2 linked regions of the Yarrowia lipolytica genome follow. The protein of the gene in region 2 purifies or fractionates together with the protein of the main gene of each other region. This does not show direct contact. Links are inferred from orthologs where the notes say so. Each region holds a gene or a part of one and is shown on either strand. Other genes may lie near its edges.

The links. Proteins that work in one complex are often made in the same cells at the same time.
Region 1: the proteins of YALI1_F14805g (region 2) and YALI1_C07780g purify together in Saccharomyces cerevisiae (affinity purification with mass spectrometry; 4 studies listed by BioGRID). This does not show direct contact. The link is inferred for Yarrowia lipolytica from reciprocal best matches to the Saccharomyces cerevisiae genes SIF2 and HOS2.

What each region holds. Positions count from the first base shown.
Region 1 is NC_090772.1:773,532-783,414, reverse strand, and holds YALI1_C07780g (uncharacterized protein), read right to left. Parts: upstream 5,394-9,883; coding exon 4,092-5,393; downstream 1-4,091. Other genes in the region: YALI1_C07816g (uncharacterized protein), read right to left, coding at 44-1,735; YALI1_C07770g (uncharacterized protein), read left to right, coding at 6,343-7,149; YALI1_C07758g (uncharacterized protein), read left to right, coding at 7,545-8,039; YALI1_C07721g (uncharacterized protein), read right to left, coding at 8,350-9,883.
Region 2 is NC_090775.1:1,475,604-1,487,412, forward strand, and holds YALI1_F14805g (uncharacterized protein), read left to right. Parts: upstream 1-4,902; coding exon 4,903-6,777; downstream 6,778-11,809. Other genes in the region: YALI1_F14766g (uncharacterized protein), read right to left, coding at 211-1,053; YALI1_F14793g (uncharacterized protein), read right to left, coding at 1,775-3,748; YALI1_F14827g (uncharacterized protein), read left to right, coding at 7,119-8,363; YALI1_F14850g (uncharacterized protein), read left to right, coding at 9,429-10,247; YALI1_F14882g (uncharacterized protein), read right to left, coding at 10,330-11,809. UniProt on the Saccharomyces cerevisiae protein: Antagonizes telomeric silencing in yeast. May recruit SIR4 to non-telomeric sites or repression.

The sequences.
Region 1 (9,883 bases), on a different chromosome or scaffold from region 2:
AGTCAAAGCACACACTCTCATTGTTCATGAAGCGAGCACAGACTTAGTCTCGTCCGTAAGACAGCTGCTCCTCGCTCCACAGAGGCTCAACCTCAACACCCTCGCCAACGCCACACAGACCGCCCTCGGCAGTCCAGTCCTCAACTCGCTTAAGATCAAGCTCCTGCCACACGTCTTCCAGGGCAGCAACCAGCTCGTCACAGAGTCCCTCATGGTGACCGGGGGTGGGGGTCACACGCAGTCGCTCCTGGCCAATAGGAACAGTGGGGAAGTTGATAGCCTGCACATAGATCTGGTGCTTGGTCAGCAGAAGATCGGAGGCGGCCTTTGCCTTCTGGGCGTCACCAACAAGAACAGGCACGATGTGAGAGGGGTTAGGAACAACGGGAATTCCTCGGTTGGCCAGCTTGTCCTTGACGTATCGAGTGTGAGTCTGCTGGGCAACTCGGTCCTTCATGGTAGCCTTCTGGTAGTTGATAGCAGCTCGAGCACCGGCCATGGTGGCAGGGGGAAGAGTGGTGGTGAAGATGAAACCGGGAGCATAAGATCGAACCATGTCAACAAACTTGGCAGAGCCAGCAATGTAGCCACCAACACATCCGTAAGCCTTTCCGAGGGTTCCGGTGAAGATATCCACTCGGTCCATGATGGGCTGTCGCTGGGTCTGAGCACCAGAGTGGTAGTGCTCAAAGTCGAGGTGCTCGGCAACACCGGCACCGGTGGGGCCGTACATACCAACGGCGTGGACCTCGTCGAGGAACGTGATGGCGCCGTACTTGTCGGCCAGGTCACAAATCTCCTCAATAGGGCCAATGGAACCACACATGGAGTAGACGGACTCAAATGCAATCACCTTGGGAGTGCTCTTGGGGTATCGAGCGAGCTTGGCTTCCAGATCAGCGAGGTCGTTGTGCTTCCACACAACCTTCTCGGACCCTCCGTGTCGGATTCCGTGGATCATGGAGGCGTGGTTAGAAGCGTCGGAGAAGTAGACGCAGTTGGGGAGAGCCTGGCCGAGCAACGACAGGGTGGAGTCGTTGGCGACGTAGCACGAGGAGAAGACCAGAGCAGCCTCCTTCTTGTGGAGGTCGGCGATAGCGGCCTCGAGCTCGACGGCATGTCGGTTGTGGCCAGCAATGTTCCGGGTTCCACCAGCGCCGGCTCCGTACTTGTCCAGAGTCTCGTGCATGGCGTCGACGACGACGGGGTTTCGGCCCATGCCGAGGTAGTCGTTTGCGCACCAGACGGTCACCTTGTCCTCCTCAATGGAGCCTCTGTGGGCTCGGGGGAACTCGGCGGCCAGTCGGTTGATGTTGTTGAAGTACCGGTATGACTTGTCCTGGTGCTTGGCGTTGATTTTGTTCTCGTAGAAGGACTCGTAGTTGAAGGTGGTGGCATTGTGGGCGTCCTGGGTGGGCACCTTTCCGAGGCCTCGCTGGGTCATTCCGAACGGGTAGTTGTCGAGCCGAGACGAAGGGTAGACGGGCGAGTACTGGGCCGCGTGGGGGCAGGTGCCCTTGGAGGTGTCCACGGCGGCATGGACGTCAACGGTGGCGGACTCGGCGTTGGATCCGGCGTCGGACTTGAAGCCACGCACTCCCATGGCCTTGCCCATGATGGGGCATTGGCCTGCCTTCTGGGTCAGTCGCCCGTTTCCGAGCTGCTTGAGGCTGGAAGCCGAGGTTCGACCAATGTAGGGGCAGAGCTTTTTGGACTGTCGAACGAGAGATTCCATGGTTGTCGAGACTGGTCTGGGGTCGTCTGGGACGTTTGGGTTGGGTGATGAGAAGGAGGGTGAGGTAAAATTTGGGCCCTTTTTCTGTGCTGCTGCGAAACCTTATTTTTGTGATTTCCACACTCTGCTCCGTCACCATCATTGTCCCAACTAAAAAAGTCACCAATGACGTGCATTGTTAGTAATTGAGGTTATTTGGCCCTTCCTCGTGGCAACCGCGCAAACGAACAGACGACCGGGTAGTGTCATCGCTGCTGGACCACGAGAGGGCATGTATATATGGTGTTCACGTGACGAGATAGAGAGAGCCATTGTAACAGATACTTGAACGACAGTATCTCGAGAAACACCAGACTACCTCCCACTACTTGTAGCACCTCTAGCCTGGCACGGCTTACAGATAGCTCACATCTACGCTGTTGCCGATGCTGCTGCTTATTCCCTATTATTACTCACATTGTAAGCTTTCTCATTGGCCACGTTCCACCTCCAAACTCTGCTACTCAACCGCCCTCCCCACAACTCTAACCCCACAAGCATGTGATGAGGACCTGGATGAGAGCCAGTTGCCAGTAACGTAAGCCAAACCCGAGAAAGGTGTGACAATCAGGCCCAAGGTATATTGCTGTTTAGCAATGTTCCACGAGGGATGACCGGATAAGGGGCCCCGGTCGTCATTGTACATGGCAACAGATTCTCTTCAACGCTCCATCCACTACTTGTAGCATTTGTGCAGTTGTTTGCAGCTCTTTGCAGCTCTTCAGTGTATTTTTTTCTCCCAGTTTTCACACTTTTCAGTGTTTTTCAGTGTTTTTCAGTGTTTGTTTGGTTTTTTTTTTTTTTTTTTTTTTTCCCTGCGTGCCCCTGATTCCATGTTTTTATTGCATGCCGTGACGATGACGGATGCAATGAGACGACGCAAAATGTTGCAATGGACTCGTGCGAATTCTGCCCGTATATTCACCCTCTTTCCAACCCATCAACCGCTACTTTCGAGCTGATACCAGAGATATCGTCACCCCCATTTCTCACAAATCTCCCTCATAAACTTCGCCGCTCCGAACAGTTCCGTGCTTCCGCGCCACCTCAAGGTAACCCTAGCCACAGTGGCAGAAACTCTAGCGTTTACCGAGGTCGGCGGTCTAGACCCGAAGATGGACTGGAGCATCACTGGACCAACTAACGTCTGCAAAAGAACCGTTTTCAGAGGTATTTTTATACAGATACTGGTGCAATCTGCGGCTATCGATGGATCAACCATTTTTCATACCCATCTCCAACCCGCCAAAGCCGAGATCTTCACACCTCCAGACTCGGTTATACTGTAATTTACTGTACTGTACGTACAGTGCGTGCGGCCAAACGATGCCAAAAGTGCGTCATCGGAAAATGACAAGCGGCTGAGAAGATGGGTGACTAATTGAAAGGTGGTCCAGAGTGTTTGTAGGCAGGCGTTTATGTCGTATTAATGGGCCGGAATGTGGTGGACTGCCATACTTGTGTCAGTGAGCCAATTGAGTCTAGATCGATACCGTAACTAGCTACAAGTAGCTACTGGAGCCACCGTCACCGTCAGAAAGCAAAGAGTCATGTCTGAGATGTCTCACTGTCGCCGTCTCTGCGAATCAAGTCTCCTCGCAGGGCGATTATCAAGATTGCCATTCGTCCACAAACCAATTAATGCACTTGGAAATCTTGTCCATTCAGGCAACTCAAGCACAGCTCGCAGTTATCAGATCAACTTAATCGCTCATCCAAAACGACTGGTGATGCTACAAGTACGATACGAGTAAAGTAGCAGCTCAACAAGACTGAAAAAGAAATCACTCAATTGAACTGTATGTACATAGAAAACAGACCACTATCCAACACACTAGCACCTGGTGGCCCTCTCCTAATCCACGAGCCGGCCGAATACCACCATACTCAGCAGCGCAAAATTCTCACGCCGATCTTATCAAATAAATCTGAAACAACGCACGCCGTCACACGTCCGAAAAAGCCCGTGCTCCCGTCTCACTCCCATTCTGGCAAATGCCACGGTCGATAATGCAACATACATCCAGATACAGTTGCAATACTTTTCATCAGCCCATTTTTGAGCCTCCAATAAGCATAACCCTGCAAGTCTAAGTGTAGCGCGTAAGCATACCTCTAAGGAGACAAACGATCATATCTGGTGTGTTGAACAATGTCCAGTTTTGTACGAGTATCCGTCGTCCGTCTCAAGTAAATGCGTCAACTATCGATAGTGGTACTTGAAGTCGTTTCTGTGCCCCCAATATCATCATTAGTTGATTACGAGCCTTTCGACTCCCTGCCTATTTACAATAAATATAATGTGCTCCATGCCCGACTACCTCGCATCCTTCATCGCCTCGTCAAGCTCATCTCGTCGCTGCTTTTCTCCCTCCTCAGTCAGACCGGCCAGGTCCGGCGGAATTTCAGCCATCTGAACACTGGGGGCTCCCTGCAAAGTTCTCAGCTGTTCCATCACCTGCACATGCACAGAATCCAGAAACTTGCGGGAGTTCTTGTTGTCGATCTTACCAGCCAGGTTGGGATGCAACGAGTAATCTGGAGCAAAATACTTGAGAAAAGGCATGGAAGAAGGCAACCGAGTCTCCAGATCAACGTCCAGACACACACTGGTCTCATAACACCACAATCGAGACACGTTGCGAGGGGTGTATCCTCCTCCTCCAAGCACAATCAGAGGCAGGCCAAACGACTTTGTATATGCAACGCACTCTCCATGGGCCTTGATGTTGAGATTGAAACATCCCAAACGATCTCCACCAAGCGAATCAGCTCCACATTGAAGCACAATAGCCGAGGGTCTGTAACTGTTGAGAACAGGCTCTAAAACACTCTTGAACAGCCGCACGTACGACTCGTCGTCGATTCCGTCTCGTAGCGGCACGTTGAGTGAGTAGTTCTTGCCCAGACTAGTTCCAATCTCGTCAAAGTTTCCCGTACCAGGGAAGAACTCTCCGTTATACTTGTGGAACGACAGAGTCATGACTCGGTCGGTCGAATAGAACGCCTCCTGCACTCCGTCTCCGTGGTGAATGTCGATATCAATGTAAAGAACACGTGGATACATTCTGAGAAGGTTCAGAATCGCCAACACAATGTCGTTCACATAACAGAATCCACTGGCTTCAAACTTTTTCGCATGATGCAGACCTCCAGACCAGTTGATGGCGATATCTGACTGGCCAGCAAGAAGCTTTCGACTCGCGTCCAAACTGCTACCTGCGTAAATGATCGAGTAGTCGTACATGCCGTCGAAAATGGGACAATCGTCTCCAATGTTAAACTTGGGTAAAACTCGCTGGAACTTTTTGATGTTATCCGGAGTGACACGTTGCAAGAAATCAATGTACTCTTCGGCGTGGAACTCCCGCACCTCTGTTTCTGTGGCTCTTCGGGATCTGTACAAGTCCAGTTTGTTGTGTAGCTTGTATCCCAGCACCAGATGGTCTGTCAGCATGAGTCGAAACGGTTTCATGGGGTGACGGACTCCATAATGGTATCGCGCAGCCTCCTCGTTGAAATGGTACGACACGCGGCGTTTTTGTGTCGTCAGAAACGACTCGTAGAGAGGCGTGTTTTCCACCGTCTTGGAGTCAAACACGATGGTTGGTTCTGACATGACTGTAGAGAAGTGGAATGTGATGTGATGCTATGTGTTGTGTTTGTGACGGTGTCGCGTTGATTTTGGTGTCACTTGTGCCGCGTCTCTGCCGATAAATCCCGTATTATGTGCTTTTTTTTTTCTGTCGTATATTGTTTAGTGCACTGGAGATGGGTGATGGAGGTGAATTAATTGTGCATATAAGAAACTTTATTGGTAGGGTGAAATTCTAGGACAGATAGAAAAGGTGGCGAAAAGTCGGGAAAAATGGCTTGTGAGCATATCTTTTTCTCTAATGTTGGCCATTATCTGACCATGGCTTACTTTATTGAGCAAGTAATTTTCTCTCATCATGTAGCACCTGACCCAATACCCACTGCCATGTCTCTACCTCCTTACCACTATACACAGCTAACATCTACAAGTACATACTGTACATACAGTAGTCTCAAAAGAGTCAATATAACGGAGGGTATAGAGACGTCAGAAATATAAAAATTCCGGAAAACCATTATTAAAGCTACATTTGAACGACTGGAAAAATCACTAGCTTGATCAAACACCTCCAACACGATGGAAACGTCCCTTATAAATTTCCGTTTTCAGAACCTCAAGTTTGAGATTAGTTTACCTGTTTAACCGAGGTCAGCTCAACATAACACTCAAAGTAAGGCACCAAATACCCTCACAGGAGTCTCAGTCTATATGAATAATAGTATCATCCACTCAGACCTCCCCAATCGACTTTTTTTGAGCTCCGTAACCCTCCAAACACCACCAACTCACCTCTCCTCCACATTCAACTGAACTCCCAACTAAACCCCAACTATCGCTCTCAGGGTGGTTCCCTCCTAACCCTAACCCTACTCTCCCGCATCGCCACATACATCATGCTCACGGTGGTTACAGTACTCTTCATTGCCACCCAGAACCACACAACAGGAAAATGTCAGGTAAGTATTGAGCGATGGATCGGTCGCCAATGGGGACAAGACGGATCACGCGACTCGATTGCGCCGCCGACTATTCGGATATCGCTAACACAGGCTCTGCTGGATTCGATCGCCACATTACCATCTTTTCGCCTGAGGGCCGACTGTACCAGGTCGAGTACGCCTTCAAAGCATGCAACTCTGCCAACATCACGTCGCTGGGCATCCGAGGCAAGGACTGCGCGGTTGTCGTTTCGCAAAAGAAAATCTCCGACAAGCTGTTGGACCCTTCCACCGTGTCGTACATTTTCCGAATCTCTCCTAGCATCGGAGCAGTGCTGACTGGCCAGATTCCCGACGCTCGTGCAGCTGTCCAACGAGCCCGAGGAGAGGCCGCAGAGTTCCGATATAAGTACGGATACGACATGCCCTGCGATATGCTGGCCAAGCGAATGGCCAACATCAACCAGGTGTACACTCAGAGAGCATACATGCGACCGCTGGGCGTGATCATGACGCTGATTGCCATTGACGACGAGCGGGGACCTGAGCTGTACAAGTGCGACCCTGCCGGCTACTACGTGGGATACAAGGCCACTGCATCGGGTCCCAAGCAGCAGGAGGCTAACAACTTCCTGGAAAAGAAGCTCAAGAAGAAGGAGTATGCTGCTGGAGATGTCAACGAGGTAACCGAAACCGCCATTTCCGCTCTTTCCACTGCTCTGTCTGTGGACTTCAAGAAGAATGACATTGAGATTGGTGTGGCTACAAAGGACGGATTTAGAAAGTTGACTGTGGAGGAGATTGACGAGCGGCTGGTGGCTATCGCCGAGCAGGATTAATACCGAAGAGATGAGAATATGGTACACTGAGAAGATGGCGTGGTGATGGTTTTAGCATGATGATTCTATTAACATCCCTCATTGAGGCCAATTAGAGAAGGAATAAATATATTGATATGAAAATGGACAGTGGAAGGAACATAGGGGTGGATTTGTGTGTGTACTCGTTTTACTGTAACTGTTCATACAGGATGGTTTTGTTCACAGAAGATAATGGTAAGGAAGACGAACACTGTTGAGTGGGAAATCTAAGAATTACATCCAAGTGAATCTGGGTCGTTCTCAAGACTATTGTATAGCTCATTGGTTGTGTTTTACAAGTACAATACGCGTCATCTCATCTGTCTGTCGGGTTCTCTCTCTCTCGCGTTATCTACAGTACTGCACCTCTGAGTATGTCAAATAGTTGTCCCAGTAACTCTATATTTATGACAACAAAACAAATAGCTTCTTCTTTGTCTCAACTAAACACTTATCTAGCTAGCCCACAAATGATCACCAACACGCCTCCCACCAAGCAGGACCCCTTTCTGGCTCTCAAGGAGGCCTGCGAGGACAATCCGCGTCTCCGTCCCGTCTCGGCTGTCATTTGTGACGCGGCCGAAGACCTCGCCTTCCGAGCAGGTGTCATCACCTTGTTCAACGAGCTCAAGATGCGTGAGCAGGAGGTGGAGGAACTGACTAACGAGCTCCAACGGATGCAGAAGCTCAATAGCGAGCTCCACAACATGAACGAACAGCTTCAGAGAGCAAAGACCCTCATCTCTGCATCGCTCAAACGCCACATTGCCAACCAGAGAGCTGCCAACGAATCCAGACTCGAGCCTCTCCAGGACCTGTTTGACTACGCCGCAGGAGACTCCGCGGAGATCGATTTCGACGTTGAATGAGAAGGACATAGATGGGCGTCCGGAGAACATAAATAATAGAGAAACAGATCCATGATAGAATATGTACAAATAACTGAAGGGGGTAGGGGGAAGAGGTAGACCTCTGCTCCAATACTGTAGGACTGCAGTATGTATGTATACACAGAAATGCCCTCAGTTAACAGCATATATCTATACAACGTCAGTAGATCAATCAATGTACTACTGTATGTACTTTCCAGTGGATAAGTACTCCTTCACCATAAGCCTTTTGCTTCGATTCTATATCTCGCGCTGGTGCCCACATCGTCTATTATTATACATTACTATCCTATCTGGATCTCCAAACGACCATAAAGTCGCACTTTTGCTGCTGCTTGCCCCGGCTTCGCTCCATACAATGCTGAAGCAGCCGACTCAGCTCCTGCAGAATCTCCCATTGCACCTTTTCAATAGCCTTCCAAATCACCTGCAACAGACCAATGATGTTCTGCAGGTTCGGGGCTGTTCGGATCTCAACAGGAGACAGACCCGACAGCCGCTTCAAATACTCGTAGCCATCCTCCTTGGGCACATAGCTGTTGATGGGCCGCTCCTCGCTGCGCGTGAGCATCTCTGAGCCCCACTCGGTGATCTTGCCCTTCTCGGCCGTCAGCCGAACATTGGGATCTTTGTACAACGCCATGGCATGATCCTCACATCCAGAGTTGACAAACACAAACGCCCAGAGAGCCAGGGCAGCCATGGTTACACTGTGAGGTCGCTGAATCACAGGATCAAGATGTCCCTTGTACGTGAGCTCGTTAGGTCCGTCCAGGAAGACATCTCGGAGAATCCGAATAGCATGCCAAACAGCAATACTGCCAGGCTCGGTACGTGCCCATTCGTGCATACGAGCGTTAGTAGCGTCGTACTGCGCTTGACGCATTTTCACTGTCAACATTCGAGGCACGCCAGCAAAGATCTGGAAATCGTGCGGCGAAAGATGCAACACTATCGATCCAAGATGGTAGATGTGAAGAGCCGAAAGAGAAAGGGCATCGGAAAGAGCTTGTTGTTGCTGGGGCAAAGTCACGGAGAAGGCGTTGAGGAAATCGGGAGGGAACTCTCCAATAGATAATCCGAGATTGGGAATGTTCATGCGGGGATGCAAATGAGGAAGAGGACCGCAAGTATTCGCCAGACCATACTCATGTGCCCAAAAGTCGTAGGAGCGCGACAAGATCTCCTTCCACGGCTTTCGACTCTTCCAGCCAATACTGCTGGCCTGCAAATCACGCTGCTGCATTTGAATGGCGACCGACATCAATCCAAATAGAAGTACGTGGCGTCCAAAGGGCTTCACGTCCACATGTTGCTTATTAAGCACGCGTTTGAGGGCGGACAGGAAAGTTGGAGGCGGCTTTCCAACTCCAGGAGCCCTTGGCTTGCCTCTTGATGGAGTCAGGGGGGTATCTACTGCATCAGTCCGGTCTCCATTGTTGTCGAACGACTCACTACTGTTCCACAACGCCTCATCAGGCAATTGTAGTCGGATTTCGTGCGCTGAAACAGCGGGAGTGTGTCCAAAAGTGACGGAATGAAGTACATCAAGACAAAAGGCGAGATAGGCGACCCGCTTGAACGACTCCACCTTGATTCGCTGATCATAAATACTGGTATCTCTGCTATCTGCGGAATCGTAGTAGTCAAAGTGGTCGTCAATGGTGCCCATAAAGACGGAGGATCGTCGCATGAGTTGGATGGTCGTGGCATGGTGCACGTGGCCTCGTTCGTGTAGGATTCGGTCTGTGTACATCTTCTCGTAGCACTCGAGAATCATGAGTGCTTGGAAGACCCACAGTTTTGCAGGCGGCTGACAATCA
Region 2 (11,809 bases):
AGAGAGAGAGAGAGAGAGAGAAGAGAGAGAAGAAAGCAGCCGGAGATGTAATCGTCCGTCGCTGGGTGTAAAATCATTGTTTTGCCATTGAGCTGACTTTAGTCACTCCACTCCCTTGTATCATTGATGTTCATATAATTAAATCATTACGTCTATAAATCATGTCTTATTTAGATGTGTGCCCGCTGCTGACGAACGACCACGGGCTTTCTAGAGGTTGTTGACATACTTCAAGTCCTCATTGTACTTGACATCCTCTTCGTCAAGTTTACCCTCAACCCTCTTGGCAGCCTTCTTGACCTGCTCAGTCTCCTCGGGGGTGAAAGGGAAACCCTTCTGGTTGAGCAGCACCAGCACGTGCAGAGATCGTTCCAGCGAGGGAATGTGGTCGTCGGTCTCGAGCTCCTTGACGAGGATATCGAACACCTGTCTCTTCTCCTCGGGCTTCATGAGGTCGGTCTCGGACTCCAGAATGCCTGTGAGAACTCCAAGGGTCTTGGACTTGACCTGGGCGGTCGCGTCGGGCTTGAGGTGGCCCACGACCTTCTTCAGACCGTCAGCAGACTCAAACAGCTTGTATGCGTCGTCGCAGTTTCGGATGGCAGACGCCAGAGCAAACAGCGACTTGACCACTACCTCGGGGTCGTCGTGGCTAGTCAGGTCGACCAGCTTCTTGATTCCGGCATCGCCTTGTTCAACAAGAGCCTCCTGCGATTTGGGGTTGTTCTGGGTCGCAGTAGCAACCACCCAGGCAGCCAGCTTCTGCAGAGAAGGGTGAGGAGAGCTCAATTGCGCCAGCAGAGGCTCCCACAGCTTTAGGTTCTTCATCATGTTGGCATTATCGAGGTTCTCCACCAGCATCTCAAAGTTGTCAAACGCCACCTCCTTGTCTTCCAGCTTGTTATCGGGCTGGGTGATGACCACCATGGCCTGCACCATGAGCTGGGCATCGTCGGGCGCCCCAAACAGCTGCGCCAGCAGCTTGGGGTCTGGTGGAGGCTCGTTGGTGCCCTCCTGTTGCTGCTTAACCGACCATGCTAGTAATTTGTCCATTTTTTGTCGTGTTGAGTATTTTCGTAACTTGTTGCGTTCCGGATCAAGATATTTTTCCTCTTCCTGCAGCTTTACTTATATCAGACATTGTCATAAAGTTAAAGGCACGAGGCGCCCCCAGAACCTTCCAGAAATGAATACAGGCCGGCGAGAAACAAATTCGTCATTAAATGAATAAAAAGGGAAGAAATACGATCAATTCACGTGAGAGAAATAGACATTTTTAGTCCACTGTGTAAAAAAAGACAAAAAAAAAACAGCAACCAAACTCAAGGTGATACCGTGTGCAATAGGTCCAACACAGTACTTTTACAGCACGCCTCGATCTTGTGCATCATCAAACATCAGGCATCAGATTACTGAGACGTCTGACATGTACCAATGTGTAAGGCAGAAGGCGTTAAACTAGTGCCCAATAGAGACAGTTATTGAAGTCTAGTGACCCGCTTCTCGACCAGATCTACTTTTAGCAAAATTGCAACATCTCTCGAGGTCGTTTGCTTAGTAAGAGTCTCATACACCGTTTCCAAGAAACACCATCACAATACCTATAGAACATCCGAAGGGTCCATTTTGAAGCTGAAGCCGTGGAGAGACTGGCTGTGGCATTTGATTTGTCAACAGGCCCTTGATACGGTCCCCAGACTTGCGCTGATCCTCCTTCCTCCTTGTCCCATCTCCATCCCCATCTTCGTTAATAAAAAATACAGTACTTACATGCCTATGCCTTGCTAGCTCGAGCTGGGCTCAAGACGTAATCCAGCAAGTAGTCCAGATTCAAACCCACCTCGCTCAATTGCGCAGCCTGCTGTCTAGTAATAGAGACACACTGTTGATACGTTTGAGTGTCGGGCTTCACTCCATACAGCTGTCGAGCAAACAGCAGCACAAATTCCTCCACCATGCTCTTGGCCCACTCGGCAATACTGGACGCCAAATGGTTGTCTGTGTAGCACTTTCGGAACACCTCGGCTGTGGATCGGATCAACCGGAAATACGTGACTGCCACCTGAGCAATATATCCAGGAATGTCGCCCAGCAACTCAACCTGACGAGTTCGCTTGTGAATGAGGTTTCTTCGAGTTTCCAGGTAGACTCCCCGGGCCTGGTCTCCGTGTCCTAAACGCACCAGCAGACCCAGAGCGTGTGTGACGGCAGTGTTGGATGTGTCTGTAGCCACATCATCAATGAGATGAGCCACCAACTCGTCCTGACGCTGATGCAGTTTGATGTCGAGCACCTGCTGTGTAATGTCGGTGCTCTCCTTGTCGTCCTTGATGTTTTCCAAAATGATGTCGGTGGCTTCGGCAAACCGCCTGTGTGCGATTTTCACGTCCAGATCGTTGACCAGGTCGTCAATCTCTCGCAGATTTTTCGTTCGGCCGGTGATGTCGACCGATGAAGACCTCGAGTGGCCCTTGGAGTTGCTGAGCCCCTGTAACAGCTCTTTGTGACCCCGAAGAGACGGGTTTCGAGCAGCATAGTACGTCATACTTTCTCTGAGCCGAATTTGCTGCTGGGTCTTGTTGGTGTCGTTCTTTCTGCCTTCGCCAGCCACCTTTTTGAAAGCCGAAACAACCTTGGCGTGCTGGGCGGGCTTTTCCGTCTGGTAGACGCAGGTGACTCCTCCGCAGACGACAGAAACTGCATTGGGGACCACGGGATGGGTTCCTCGGCGAGAAACGGAGAGATCCAGAAACTCAATGTCGCTGAGCGGCCAACACTGGTCCGCCACAAGAGTCTGGGTCTGCTGCATCTGCATGTTATCCTTTTTTCTGTTCTTGGCTGCAATCAGCAAATGGTCGTTCAGCAGAAACATGTGCACAGGTCGCAGGGGTTTCCAGGTGGCGGCGTTGAGCTGGTACCATGCGCCCGACTCGGCCACCACGTGTCTTCCAGGAATAGCAGGCAAGTACTTGACGGCTCCCTCTACATGTTTGAACAGCGACGCCAGTTCGTTGGCCCACATGTTTTCCAACATGACCATGGAGTTTCTGTTTCGGGCCGACGAGTCGGGCAGCGCCAGCGACGATTGCGACGATTCCTGCGACTTACTGGAGGTGGATTCCAGAGCGTCCTCCACCATGGCGGACACCGCAACGTTGAAGTTGCTGACGGCCTGGCCCAAGGACTTGACCTCGGAGTTGAGCGCCAGAATCTCTTTGTTTACGGTCAGAAACGAGTTGTAGTTTGTGTACATGGCCTCTCGCTGTTCGTCCACGAGCCTCGATTTGAGACTCTTGAGTTTCGACACGAACCGGTCGACCTCCTCAGCGTTGGAGGTGGCCAATTGCTGCGTGACAAACGTGTGCGCGTCCAGATCCTCCTTGAGCAGCATTCCTGAAGCGCCCGAGGCCACGGGGGCCGCCTTGGCCGGAGAAGTCATCGTTTTGCTTTTTGTCACCGGAACTCCTCCAGCAGCAACAGCGTCGTCAATCATGCTCCCAGCACCCACGGGCAAGCTCGGCGCCGCTGCCGCGTCATAGGGCACGCCCTGACCTGGGATACGGGCGCTGAACCGCCGCTTCACCATGTTTCCAACCCTTTCTCGGTCCTTATCGCCGACATTGGGCAGTTGGAGATGTGTGCTGTCTTGTATGTACGGCTTCTGCTTCTGGACCGCCGCGGCCATCACGTGCGGGTTGGCCGTCTGTCTGTGCGACCGTAGCGATTGGTTCGGAGGCTCCAGCGACATGGCGTGAGTCTTGTGTCGTGTACAAGTGCGGATGTTGGGTTGAGTGGAGGACGCAACTTGGACATGCGTGTTTAAGCACCTCGGAGTTATTAAACCTGGAGTGCTTAGTCAGACCCTAAGGGGTGGCTATGTGGATGACCTGAGTGTGGGAAAACAGACGGTTGGCGACGAGATCGAAATCTGCTGCAAAAAAAAAAGTGAAAACAAAAAAAAATAAAAAAAATCGTCACTCTCCACAAATAGCCCGCCCCTATGTCGTTTCATGTTTCACCGTGCACCCCGTTAAACCTTAGTTAAGAACGTTAGTTAGAGTTTTAAGTAATTGGAAGTTTTTGAAGAACGACCATTACCAGCCAGAAAGTTGATGTTGACGGTTGTGGGACATTTAGATGTCTTCTTTTCACCTGAAAAGGTTCCAAGCACCTTTTTCAACCTCTTCTAGTGACTGTAATGCCACGTATTACGACATGGTGTCACTCGACACCCTGAACTCTATACGCCGATGATCGTCGTGTATAACTCGGCCATTATTTACTTTGATGACGGCCACGAAGAGCTCAGTCGCTCCATTCCCGTCGACATAGATTTACCACAATTTTTAATTTGTCAATTCGTTTTTTTATCCATTTTACCCCGAATTTTCCCCAACCTCCTTCCCCATAAAACCCCAGCTGAAACAAGGTGAAACATGTCATTTGGATAGCTCGTGCTGTGATGGAGCTATGATCTTCGGACCAAGTTCAATCGATACCAAATGACGCAAATACTCAGTTTCTGGATCCGCAATCACCCAAAACACTCTCCATACCCAACTGAATGCTTCCTCGGAAAGACGAGTTGATCCGAGAGTATTTTCGCTACTTTGAAATAAGCTTCGCGCTCGTCTATTGTGATATTATGTGCAGAGTAATGGAAGGTGTCTTTGGCAGTGGAAGGAGAGGGTAAAATGGTAATGTTCGCATATCATTTTGTAACCATGGATCCAAGGAGCATTTGTAAACACTTTCCATGTCTTCCACTCTTCTACAGCGCATTTTACAAGTGTCGTCAAAATCCCCCCTCCCCCCCCAACCTCCCAACCTTAACGTTACAGTGCAACAAAACATCACCACTTTTAACATCACCACTTTGCCAGACCCCCCAAAACACCACTCATGTCAATCACATCGGACGAGCTAAACTACCTGGTGTGGCGGTATCTGCAGGAGGCGGGTTTCGAACATACAACATATGCGTTTCAGCGCGAGGCGGGCGTCCATCATTTGGACAAGCATTTCTCTAACCGCATTCCTCTGGGAGCGCTAGTCAATGTGGCACAGAAAGGAATCCAGTTCATGGAGGTGGAGGCCAGCGTCAAGGAGGATGGCACGATTGTGGACTCGGACGACAAGCCGTTTTCGCTGTTTGGGAACGACTACGTGCGCAGTGGGACGCCAGAGATTGAGGAGGAGCAGACTAACGCTTTGAAGGGCGCAGCCACGGCGTTGCTAGCTGCTCCGTCCGACATTACCGCAGGTGCAAATGTGGCCGTGACTAAAATCGATCCTGGATTGCCTACCACGGCTCCAACGTTAACAGCACCGGCAAACAACAACAACATAAAGAAGGTAGTGGCTGCTACCATGACAGACAGGGCAACCAATACACAAGATACACAGAATGCAACGTCGCAAAAAGACATGACGCGCGAGGAGGTGCCGATAATCTCGTTGACGCCGTCGGTGGATGTGGGTTCTGTGTCTCAATGCCAGTGGAGTCCGGTTGACAAGAATGTGTTATTAACGGGAGCGGCCGGACCAGTTGCTTCGTTACTGGTGCTCAACAAGGGAGGAGAAGAGGAGGAGGGAACGGCGGGGACTTTACTACCTACTCACGGCGACGAGATGGATGTGGATTCTGAGGATACCAACAGTACGAAAAAGATGGTCAAAATTGCGTCAACCACAAACCTCGCACATTCGCCGATTCCCCAAGGCGACAAGGATATTACTGCAGTGTCGTGGAACAGAATCGGAACGCTTTGTGTGACAGCTGCGTTTGATGGCCAACTACGATTATGGACTGCCCAAGGCAAGCTACGACACATTCTCAGTTTGCACAGAGCTCCGATTTTGTCTGTCAGATGGAATAAGACGGGCTCGTTGGTGCTGTCTATCGATTGCACAAACACGCTGGTTGTGTGGGATACCACTTCGGGCGAGGTGCGACATCATCTGAGCCTCACGGTGGCTCCTCCTCCTGCTTCGGCAGCTGTTTCGGCAGTGTCAGCGGTCGTGGGAGATATCCAAGCTGCTCTGGGGGGTAAGGACGAGAGCCACGAGTCTGCTGAGTCGATCACAACCGGGTTTGATGCTGACTGGATCGATGGATTGACATTCGTCATGACTGGAGAGAACCATTCGATTGTGGTTTGCAGGGTTGGTGAGAAGCTGCCTCTGCTAGTGTTCAAGGGCCACTCGGCAGGTATTAACGATATTCAGTTTGATCACGTGGGTTTACTTCTGGCATCGGCTTCAGATGACCACTCTGTGCGGTTATGGCAGGGTCGATCGGTCGCGTCTACAGCCACTCTTCTCGGACACACGGCCCCCGTCATGGTGGTACGATGGCTTCCGTTACTCAACGCGGCCAATCTTGTTGGAGGTGCCAACATTGGCACCATGAGTCTTGTGGTGAGTGCTTCTCTCGACGGAACGGCGCGTGTGTGGCTGCCTGAAAACGCTCGTTGCCTGGCGGTGTTGGCGCTGCATGAATCTGCTATTTTTGCCATGGAAATCTCGCCCGACCGCAAGTGGCTGGCGACAGGAGGCATGGATGGCGTGCTGGTCTTGTGGGACCTGGCAGGACTGGAGGACAATGAATGCACCGAGGAGGGCGCCGGAAGAGCTCTGGCGCGCCTGGAGATCGGGGCTCCCATTGATTGTATAGGCTGGAATCTCGAGAGTGACGTCATCTGTGTGGGAACCAGCGGCAAAAGTTATGTGGTGGAGTGGAACGAGGGCATGAGAGAAACCAAGGTGGTGGCATAGAAGGAGGGGATGGTAACGGGTTAATCAAGGGTCCCCGAAAACATAAGACACGGTATAATAATGTAAAATAGCTAACTGATGACAAGAATTGCACACAAGTGAATGTTTGAGACAGTCAAAAGTGGGGGGTTTAGTAATCAAAGTATACCAGAAATGGGATTGGTTACTAGCGGTGGTATTATTGTTCTTCAGCTGCATTTCTGTTGGGTTTTTTTCGGTTTATTGGCCAACTTTTCAAGATATCCGATTTTTTTAATTTCATTGAAAAACCTTAATTCCTCTCACAATATGGATACATATTGTACTGGTGCATTAATCTCAGTTTGAACACATTCTACAACATGAACCGGATACCTATTGAGATACAGAACGAGATTTTGAGACACTGTGATTTGTCAGCCGCTGTCAGCCTTCGAGACACGTGTATCACGTGGCGAGAACTGTGTTCTGAGTCGGTTCTGGCCAGCAAGGTGCAAAGTAGAGTGCCTTGGATGACTCCTGGAGAACATAATACGAGTCTGGACTCTTGGGCTCTTTGTGCAAAAGTTGTTTTGAGCCGTCGGAAAGCCATTGATGGCGGCAAGTATGACCATGTGGAGTTGCTGGACCGAATTCCAAACTTCAAGGCTGGCAAAGTTGAGTATTTGACAGCCGAGGAAGTGACGACTTTACCTCCAGGATACCAGTCTGTTTTCGATTCGGTTTATCTGCGGTCTGTTGCCGATGCAGAGCCGCAATTGTTGGCTCTTCGCGGCTCATCTTTGTACATCAATAACCGCCAAGCAATGTTGGATCTATATACACTGGATGTGAAGCCCACCAACGTGGATATAGCCAACGAGGGGGTTCTGGAGTTTGAAGAAACCGCCACCAATAACGTGTATGAGTGTCACGGATGCTCCATTGAGCTTCCTGAGGGGGCAGAAACTCTTCGTTTTTACTCTGGAAAGAAACAAATGGTGGTCTATTATGACATCGAATTGGAGGAGCGGGTATGTGTGATGGATAGGAAGCCCAGCATGAGCTACAAGGACGGGTTTGCGTTTGTGTTCAACGCGGAAACCATGAAGGTTCATGTTGCACGAGAGGCTGTGTTTTTGACCCAGGTTGAAGATCCCTATTTCTGCACCTATTGGCTTGATGTGGGAGCTCGAACCCGGGTTGTTGTGGCCAAGTCTGAGTTTGAGCAGCCCTACGACGAATGGACCTTGTGGTATGAAGATGTCTTCACCTACAATGGACTGTTATGGCACACTTTTGATGAGCATGTGGTTCCGTTGGTGGTGGACCTGGAACATCTGGACAAGACAGGATACAAGCCTCAGCATATTATCCAATGGTCGGATGGTGGAGAAACTCATCAGGGCAACGACGGCAGCGAAAGCTTCTTTGGAAGCAAAACCTCCACCACTCAAGCTACAGATATGGCTACTTACACAAATTATAGAGTCAAGGAGGACCGCAACTATGATATGGACGATGTCTTCTTTCCGGGGACAGTCGAGGGCCATTTTGGTTTCTGGAAATGGAGTGGAGACTATGCCGATCGAGTCATCAATGCAGCTATATCAAGTCTGAGAGAATGAATAAAACGATACAAGTTCCAGGCTACAGTCAGGGTGAACTTACACAGTGTGTAGACCCAGGGCTATAGAACGGGATGATTTTGTCTTGGGCGTGTCAGGGCGTCTTTCTGCCATCAAACACTGTGTCTTTGGAACAAAGTGGACTAAGAGAGTCATCTTAAAAAACTTTCAACGATACACGCTCCTGGATGGTATGATTCGCTGAGAGTCCCAGCTTTCACCTATGAAGCTCAGACAGTATCATGTTCTTACTTGTACCCAGGTGGAGAAACACGTCTGAGACGTACAATACTTGTACTGTATCTGAGACCTACTGAAGAATAATGGCTTAGTGAGAAGAATTTACTGCTCTGCCAAATATTCATGTGGTGTGCCCACATTTATAACCCCTTCCCCGACATCTGTCCACCCCGACGACCGAGGTAGAATTCTACTTGAAGTTGAGAGTGGGTGAGAATACCCAGGAGGTCTTTCTGAGCCCCTTGTCTGACTCCGCCACCAGCTGTCTTATGTGTTCCAAAGACAACCTGTGGTCTTTCCTGACTGACAACTGTACCGCCCCGCTCCTCGACTGGACACTGCCTGTACGCCCCACTCCTCGACAGGATACTACCCTGGCCGTCCTTTGGTCTCTTTCCTTTCATTCTGACGGGAGATATTACTTGACTATCCACTCCAGTCTCCATTCGAGAAAACTGAAGTCAGTTATGAAGCCGAGCATTTCAGCAGTGTCCATTGCTCCATTTTTGGGGAGCTACAAGTAATATTGGTGAGCCAAACTCATCTGTGCGCTCCAATGCGCCCTTCCTCTTCCCTAGTACGGGAAATTAGATGGACCGCATATTGTATACATGTGCATAATCAAGCACACTTGCACTTACAGTCAACCGCGTCTTGTACAGTATTCCTCATTGCTAATACGCAGGGTCCCATATCAGTGCATGCAAGATGCACGATAAGATGCACCTTCCAATGTCAAAAAAACATCTCTACATTATCTAGATTGGAACACAAACGCCTCCACCTGAAATTATAAAGTCATGATATGAGAACACACGCCAGTACATGCACTTTATTGACCTACTCCTACACATCGGTCTCTGTGCACACATGACGCGACTTATCACCAAACAGCTGCTGGAGCTGGAGGACCAAAAACACAAATGCCGCCAGGCCATGGTGATAATGGAGCAGCTGTTGCATGACTACCAGCTGGAGCTCAACTCTCTCCACGTGAGATCTACGGCTCTGAGAGCCAGCCTGTCCAGCACAAGAGAGAAACATCACTACTTGGCCCTCCAGACTGCTACCCGCGAGATGGCACCTCCCTACGAACAAGAGCAGCTGTCAATTGAGTTCGCAGACAAGACAGCATATGATATGTCACTCCCACATGACAATACAGCTTGTGATGGAACCCCTGCCGAGGTTGTGTCCCCCGCCCGCTCCGTCGAAAGTCTGGACACAAACAGCACCTCCCCTCCCGTCAACCCGCCAGGAACACACGTGCTGGTGTGTGGCAGAAGCGCAGCCAAACTCCGGCTCTACGGCATTGGAAAGAGAGATACAAAGATTGGTCCGATACCCATCAGGAGTGGTAACGGCGTCTCCTACCGCCTGGGGTTTCCGCCTGGTATGTTCCTTGACGTGGACTACTTTCCAGCTGGGGACCTGGAGGTGACCGACCAGAAGCTCACCGTGATATCCGGCTGTCCTCCTCTTGAAGGTCGAGTGCTCGACGAGATTGATCGTATCGACGCTGCCTTTCTGGTTCACGGAGGAGTCTACCTGTTGTTCAAAAACTGCAGCTGGGGCACCACCTACACCAAGGAAGTCCTCGACTTTCTCCCCTCGGGGATGGAGGTTGTTGATTTGAGAAATTGACTGAAACTATCGGTTCTACTACTTGGAGCAGTACAAGTGCTTGTACTCGTAGCAAATACATACGTGATTACCTATCTATTGATTAGACAAGAACGCCAGCCTGGGCGAGAGCCTTAGAGTCCTTGAGCTTGTGGAGTCGCGAAATGACCTCGTCCAGAGGAATGGAAGCGGCCTTGGCCTGCTTGCTCTGGTCGTCTCGGTCTCGGATGTTGACCGACTTGGCGGTCTTCTCCTCCTCTCCGACAATGAAGGTGAAGTTGTACTGCTTGAGCTGGGCCTCTCGGACCTTCTTCTGCAGGGTGTTGGGGCCGTTGTCGACGTCGGCAAAGAAACCGGCATCAACGAGCTCGTCACGCACCTCCTGGGCGTAGTCGTTGTACTTGGGGCCAACAGGGATGACAAGCACCTGTCGGGGCGACAGCCAGAAGGGCCACTTGCCGGCAAAATGCTCACACAGAATGGCGGTCATTCGCTCAAACGAGCCGTAGATGGCTCGGTGGATCATGACAGGTCGGGTGTACAAAGCAGCGGAGTCGGCCTCTCCCTCGCCCATGGCAGCCGAGTTCTTGAAGTTGAGGTCGAACCGGTTGGGCAGCTGGAAGTCGAGCTGGATGGTGGCGCACTGGTGCCATCGGTGGAGGGCATCGGAGATGACAATGTCAATCTTGGGGCCGTAGAAGGCACCGTCTCCGGGGTTGAGCTCCCAGTTGGCGCCCCACTTGTTGAGGGCCTCCTCGAGCTGCTTTTCGGCGTCGTTCCAGGTCTCGATCTCACCAACGTACTTGTCGGGTCGAGTGGACAGCTTCATCTTGAACTCAAAGCCAAAGATGGTGTAAATCTTCTTGAGGAAGTCGAAGATACCGGTGATCTCGGACTGGATCTGCGAGGGCATGCAGAAGATGTGGGCATCGTCCTGCTGGAACCGTCGGACTCGGGTGAGACCGGTGAGGGCACCGGAGGCCTCGTTTCGGTGGATGACACCAAAGTCGGCAACCCTCCATGGCAGCTCCTTGTAGGATCGGTCTCGGGCCTTGAACATGAGACAGTGGCCGGGACAGTTCATGGGCTTCAGACCAAACTTTTCCTTCTCAATCTCAAATGTGAACATATCGTCCTTGTAGTTTTGCCAGTGGCCAGAGGTCTCCCACAGCTTGGAGTTGTACATGTTGGGGGTGATGACCTCCTCGTAGCCTCGCTTTCGGTACTCCTTTCGCAGCAGGTCGGTGAGAGCAGAGTAGATTCGAGCGCCGTGAGGGAGCCAGAAACACGAGCCGGGAGACATGTCGTTGAACAGGAACAGCTCCTGCTCTCGGCCAATCTTTCGGTGGTCTCGCTTGGCAGCTTCCTCCAGGAACTTGAGGTGCTCGGTCATGAGCTTCTTGTCGGGGAACGAGATACCAAAGATTCGCTGCAGGGAGTCGTTGTCCTTGTCTCCGAGGAAGTAGGACGACGAGTTCTTGAGCAGCTTGAAGGCCTTGATCTTGCCGGTGTGGGGAATATGGGGGCCAACACACAAATCAATCAGAGGACCGCATCGGTAGACGGTGGTGGAGGTTCCGTCG